Schizosaccharomyces pombe: one gene and its partner. The protein of the gene in region 1 binds, or shares a complex with, the protein of each later gene. Each region holds a gene or a part of one and is shown on either strand. Other genes may lie near its edges.

Region 1 (3,500 bases):
TCCACATTATAAATCACACGTTGTCTTAATATGTGATCAGCAAGGTTTGTATAAGGAGTTTTACCCAAAGCATAAAGTAAATAGTACAACCACTGTAAGTAGGTATTAGATTTTCTTATCAAACGAAATACAAAATGCAAAATTTTCTTCAACCTGACAAGTAGGATCTTAATTTTCGAATAAAATACACTTAAAGCCCCTTTCTGCTTGTCACGAGCCTGTAATGAGAGAATAGAAACGGCAGTATGATTTTCTTTAACCGTTGTTAACGATTCGCACTTTTCAAGCAAATATGGTATGCAATAAGTTAAAAACAACTTTTTTAACACGTCAATCCCATTGAGCGAAGTAGCGGACTCTGATTCTTGTGGGAATTCCTCAGCGATTATACTACTGTCACGAACCGCTATTACTCGTTTGAGTTGAAACCTTCTTTCAACAGATGTAGCATTCCATTTTTTAAGCTGAGATTTCTCAAGTAAAAGTTTTACCAATAAATAAATACCATCAAAAGAATTATATGCCCGTAATAAAAATCTTGGATATCGATGTGTGAAATACTGAAAGAGATTAATTTATCATCATTTATTTATTTTACTTACTGCTAGTATAAACCTTAATGAAGGTGATATAAGTTTTTCCACCTGTTGAACTTGTAAAACTTCCAATAATGAAGGCGAATCCATTGACTGAATAGCTCCTTAGACAAGTGCGTTGAAGCAAGGAAAGGACTGAACTAGATCCATTAGAATCTTTGTAGTTTGAGTACTTACTGTAAATTTGCAAATAAAAACTGAAATTTTAAACAGTTATTTAATGGAATAATATCCTAAAAACATATTTAAAACAAGCTATCAATTTTAATTTTTTCCCTATAAACAAACGTATGCTATATGAACATGTGTACCTAAATTTTTTTCGACCAAGATTTATAGACTCTATGTTTGAAAGAGATCTTTTTGTCCATATCGATAAACTAAGACTGCTTGAAGGGCAGATGCTGACATCTGCAGAGCAGGAAAAGAAGTATGCGTACTTCGTAAAGACTTGAGTACTGAACGTAGGGTCGATATATCTTCTCCATTCAAAAGCTCAGGAAGTTTATAACAAAAGCAAAAAATCCATTGACTCTAGAAAAATGTTAGCAAATTTTAGAATGAACAAAAATACACCAGCAAAGTAGCATGAGATCCTTGTTACCAACCTGTAAATCAATTGCGTCCTTTTCAAGCCAGCTGGACAAGCTTTCTAGGATCTCCAAAACAGTTGCCAAATCAACCACTGCTAATATGGCCCAACAAGGAGCTTTATGCTCAATATATACACGCCATTGTTGTAAATTTTTAGGTAAAATAGATGCGTCCAATGAAGAAGATTCCATATATTGCTCAAGCCTTTCCCCTTCTTTATCAATTATGTTTAGTAAGTATCGTAAAAACGGGTCAAAGCTTTTTTTGCCGGCCTCGATTTCCAATTTGCGAAGAGGAATGGTTTCTCTTGTTTCAGGCTCACGACGCGCCGCTACAAATGGAACTAGCTTGCGAGCTTCTTCTCTGAACTTGTCAGTAAAAAGCCCAATTATTGTTACAATGATTAGATTAAAGCATTCATGTTGCAAATTTCGATTTTCACAAAAATTCATATATAAATGTTCGTACCTCACAGTTGCTAAATAATCTAAACCATCAAGTGGTATATCATATTCCAAAGATTCTGAAGCACTATTGTTGTCGATTTGTGGAAAAGCGCTGCGTTGATTTGTTTCCTCATCTAATGATCCTGAAGTCTGATATTGTAAAGGATTTCTTTTTCTTTTCGAGGGCATTTTGAATTATTATTGTACAATTGCAAACTTCTCATATAAACCAAATGGAAAAGAATTACCGAATTTTCATGAAAATACTCAAGGAATGTAGGCTGTTTTTTTCCGGCAACTTTTCGTTTGTAGTTAGTTAACAAGGAATGTTTCGTAAATCGAAGATTACCCTAGTATAATAGAATGGTAAGGTTAAAGAGGTATCTGTAGAACTATCAATGTGAAGAGTCTATCTTGATCAAGTGTAATGCTAAAACTAATTTTAGCTATTTCTTGATAATTCCTTTACTATCATAAAATTTATTACTTGTTCTTATTTTCAAAGAAGTTCAAAGTTTTGCATTTTTTTGAAGTGTATAAGAAGCTAAAACTGGGAGAATATTCACTCAGACAGAATTGCCTATCCTTGAACTAATTTAATAAACATAAAACATATAGATATGTAGGAAATTGTACTATTCATTCTTCTGTCAACGCAAGTAACACCATCTGCGGCCACTTAATCAGGCACTTACTCTACACAATATACAGATCAGTGCTTTATCCCCAAATCCCATTGTTCATTGGTGAATTGGTGTTTTGAGCAGCACATATGCCCATTCTAACATGCAGATATAAAATTCTGTTTCTTTATAATTTACGGAATTGCTTTACTTTTCAAAATCAGCGATGTCTCATACCATATGGAACAACCACTACCATTAGGTGGTATAATGCAAATTTTCAAGCTGTTCAAAACAACTTTTCTGATTATAAAAACGAATTGATCTCTTCACATCGTCCAGAAGCTTCCAGTTTACTCGACTTTTTGGTAAAGGATCAAAAGAAAAGTGGTGATATTAGTTTGCATACAAAATTTAATCTATATGTGGACGATTTATTGAAAAAGAGCGAAAAAGGACAAATTAAAAAATTTATTAATGATATTAAAAAAGATTTGGCTACGGAATCTCAGCTTCCATTGTCTGCGCCATTCAAAGATGAATCTACTCGGACTATGACAGATCCCCAAGTTTTAGCTTATATTCATCAGTCTATGCCGTATCAATATGCTTCTCTATACAGCGTATTGACTGACTTGAAAATTGTAAACAGTGATGTGTCTTGCAAGTCTCAACATATACTGGATTGCGGTAAAGGTCCAGGTATTGGTGCTCTAGCTAGTTATTCAGTCTTTCCCACACCTAATTCAGTTTCAATTGTTGAGGAGAACCCATTTTTGAAAAAAATCATATATGATATTCACCATAACATTTACCCGTCAACTTCGCCGAATCCAACTAGCCCTGTTACGCTTAACCGTCTACCATTGGGTAAAAAGGATTCATACACTCTAGTTATTGCATCTAACAAGCTTCTTGAAATGAAATCGGAGAAAGAACTCTTTGATTATCTTCGTTCGCTTTGGAGTCTCGTGTCAAATGATGGTGGTCTTTTGGTGCTCTGCGAGCGAGGCACAAAGCGTGGCTTTAGTTTGATTCAAAGAGCTAGAACATTTCTATTGCAAAAAAGTAAAAATACTTCTGATAAACAATTCAATGCCCATATTGTAGCACCCTGTCCCCACGATGGTCGCTGCCCCATTGATATAGAAAATGGGGTAAGAGCAAATATTTGTTCTTTCAAACAACATTTTTTCCTATCCCCATTTTCCCGTCTATATGTCCCTCGTTCTCATCGTCGA
Region 2 (3,332 bases), on another chromosome or scaffold:
ATTATAGTGATACGAGTTTTTTTTCGTTGTGATAAATACAATTGTTTACTTTGCAAGTCACTAATTGACCATTCCCATACTTTGCTTAAAATGTAATTATTATTAGAATTTACAAACGAAATATGTGAAATATTAATTTATACTTAAAAGAAGCATAGGTTTTTTTTTCTTTGTAAAACATTAAATTATATCGCGTTTCATTAAAAGCTTCTTAGGCCTAGCACTTGGAACATCTTTAAGCTCTTCTGCTCGTTGTATTCGAAGTTCTTCCGTTCTTCTTGTTGGATCATTTTCAGCCACCAATCGATGCGCAAACCAGTTGCTGTTCGTTTCTGTTATATTTTTTTCGCCAAGCCTATCAAAACATGAAAAGCAACCAGGAACATTGTGTAAGCTGCAAGGTGTGTCTTCTATTTTGCTACCATATTGACTATCCATGACATCTTCATCTTCTGCATTTCGAATCTTGCTTTGAAATGATGAAAGTGCTCGAAGGGTCGACTCTTCGTCATTCTCCAAGTTTTTTCGCTTCCCTAAGACAACTTTTTTGGATTTTTTATACTTTTCAAGTTCCTCAGTCAAGATGTTCCGTTTTTTAGGACGTACAACCACGGGTTTCGAGTTTGAAGAGCCACCACTTTTTTCTAAGTCACGAAGTTCAGACTTCAAACGGGAAATTTCTTCTTGTACCTTGGACTTAGAGGAAGAATTTAACTTTGTATCTAAAGTGTCTACTTGCCTAGCATATTCATCGGAAGAGACTTTAGCAGAGGTCAATCCAGTTTGGGCAGACGAGTAAGTACTGTGAATTGAGGATGAAGATGAAATCAAATCTTTACTTAACTCAGTCGTAGTATCAGATGATCTGGATACTGGCGTTTTCTGCCTGAGCGGCTTTTTTACAATAGGCATATCGACTTCATCGCCAAAACTGAGAACTGCTTTATTTCGTCGTCCGGATTTCAATAATTTGTTTCTTTCTTTCTGTTTTTCCTGGTGGGCTAGCTCATTGGCAATTTTCTCTCTTTCTTCTTTAGTTGAACGAGGTTTTATGTCAGTAAAATAATTGTCAATTACCTCTGTTGAAATTATTTTTGGGGGAAAAACAGGTCGTTGGTTGGCATCTAACTCTAACTCAGATATCCTTACTACATTGTAAATGGTATCCCCTACAACACGTCCAAATAGAGTTTGCTTGCCATTCCATTCAGGTGTTGGACCTAAGGTGATAAAAAATTGAGAGTTGTTTCCCTCATTTTCAGTACATGCCATTCCCACTAATCCTCTTCTTATAAACCGTAACCTAGGATGTGTTTCTACAGCAAAAGGTTCACCATATATAGATTCACCACCCATTCCAGTGCCAGTAGGATCTCCACCCTGTATCAAAAACTCTGGTACAACTCTATGAACAATGGTTCCATCGTAATAACTGTATTTAATTAGTATATTTGTAAACCCGAAGCAGTTTAATGTTGCAACATTTGGGACTACAACGTTGCTCATCAACGATTTAACTTACCCTTCCAAGCATAACTGTATAAAGTTTCTACAGGCCTTCGGCACTTCTTTGCACCAAAGTTCTATCTGGATATCGCCGCGAGTAGTTTTAAGGATGACAGTCCCCCTATAATGTTAGTAAAAGTAACTGGAAATCTGAAAAACATACGTTGCCAAAGGCTCCAAGTTGGTCAAAGTCTGAGAGATTAGTCGAAGGGAGCAAGAAAAATATACTTACGGCCATTCCATAAAGTACATCAAATATTAAGGATCGCTAAATTCTTAAAGAAACTACTCATCTTGTAAGTTTGCGTTGTTAGTATAATCCTAACGTATTACCTTGTTTTGCTTTAATTGGGTTATCAAATTCACTACGATACAGTATTTTAATTTGGGTGATTCATTAAATGTTCTAGCGTAGCTTTGCTCGTTCATCAAATTGATTTCATCGCAACTTGTTACAACTAGCAAAGTAATCCTTACTGAATCCAATATTGTGTAAAACCACGGAACTTTTAATGAGTTCTGAAATTACAGAAGGAGACTTACAGAAATTCCATGATGAGCATTTTAATGCAAAAGCAGTAAACCTATGGAATGTTGCTTTCGCGCAAAACGATCGTGGGGGAAATTCAGAAAGTGCAAACGTTGAGTATACACAAAGTGTAGAGCGCTATCCTGATGGGACTATACGAACGTTAACAGATGAGCAAATTCTTTGGTTCCGTGAATCGGAAAAAAGGGAGTTAATGTGGAAAAAGGAGAAGGAGCAATTGTTAAAAGAAAAAGAATTAAGACAAAAAGCACTGGACAAGGAGAGAATGGTTTCTTCCAAACCAGAAACCAACCCAAAAACACCAATCTCATTAAAAGAATTGAAAGATATCGAAATATATCAAAACCAGTTCCATTACTCGGCTTATGAAATTTTAGAGGAAGAAAAAATACTTGATAATATTTTTCGCAAGTTTACTGCATTACCTATCAAATATTGGCCGGCAACACCAATACGAGGATAGAACGTTTTATGAATTGATGATGTTCAATAGAGTAGAAAAATTTCCTGCATATTAATGAAGGATACGCTTAATATTCAATAAATGTCACCAATCTTCATGAATACATTATACATAAGTATATTGCATTTCTTCTACATTGAACTATGATTAATGATATATACCAATTCCTTAAAATAATTAAGGCTAGTGAAAGAATACGATAATTTTCAATCTAATACTGTTGTATTGTTTTATGCAGGTGCTGTACCTTGTAAAGTGATGAATGATACTACTGTAAACATCTAAATATTGGATAATATTATAATCTCCAAATAGTTTATAGCTGGACGGAAGAACGTAAATCCAGCTATGTTCTTATACGGAACCTAGTAAAATAGACTGGAAAATTATATCTGATAAAACAAAATGATCTCTAGCGTACCATAATATTGGAATTTGAAAGATATAGGATTTTCGATTCGTGATGATATATGTACTGCACAGTCTAGCACTATACTGTACTGATCGTTAAAAGTAGCTGTAAAATTATGTTAATTTTTTATTGTGTACTTCGTTATTTTTCGGAGAACTTCGGATATGTAGTTTCATCAATCGGTGAATTCGGTAAATACAACTAACCTTCTTAGCAAATCACAGCACCCACAAACGCCGCCATTTTTAAACCAGAGGCAGCTTGACGTTTCTTCCCCAACCGCTACCCACCGAATATTTCAACAACCTGTTTCTCTTTAAAACGTTGTAAAAATGCTGGCCAAGCAATTTATTTCTAAGTCGTTAGCATCTTCGTTAAGACGGTTGCTTCCCGTTTCAAGC

What was found.
Region 2: yip12 (region 1) and gem8 share a complex: the UniProt entries of both Schizosaccharomyces pombe proteins name them as parts of the core SMN complex.

What each region holds. Positions count from the first base shown.
Region 1 is NC_003424.3:1,269,075-1,272,574, reverse strand, and holds yip12 (SMN complex subunit Yip12/Gem2), read right to left. Parts: upstream 1,826-3,500; coding exon 1,659-1,825; exon of another isoform or gene 1,554-1,658; coding exon 1,205-1,553; exon of another isoform or gene 1,131-1,204; coding exon 939-1,130; 3' UTR 829-938; downstream 1-828. Other genes in the region: pex12 (ubiquitin-protein ligase E3), read right to left, coding at 1-560, 603-686; rsm22-cox11 tandem protein cox1101, read left to right, coding at 2,409-3,500. UniProt on the Schizosaccharomyces pombe protein: The SMN complex catalyzes the assembly of small nuclear ribonucleoproteins (snRNPs), the building blocks of the spliceosome, and thereby plays an important role in the splicing of cellular pre-mRNAs.
Region 2 is NC_003423.3:2,289,990-2,293,321, reverse strand, and holds gem8 (protein gem8), read left to right. Parts: upstream 1-1,981; 5' UTR 1,982-2,018; coding exon 2,019-2,519; 3' UTR 2,520-2,727; downstream 2,728-3,332. Other genes in the region: cyclophilin family peptidyl-prolyl cis-trans isomerase Cyp7, read right to left, coding at 181-1,432, 1,523-1,627, 1,670-1,698, 1,739-1,744; Rieske iron-sulfur protein, ubiquinol-cytochrome-c reductase complex subunit 5, Rip1, read left to right, coding at 3,264-3,332. UniProt on the Schizosaccharomyces pombe protein: The SMN complex catalyzes the assembly of small nuclear ribonucleoproteins (snRNPs), the building blocks of the spliceosome, and thereby plays an important role in the splicing of cellular pre-mRNAs.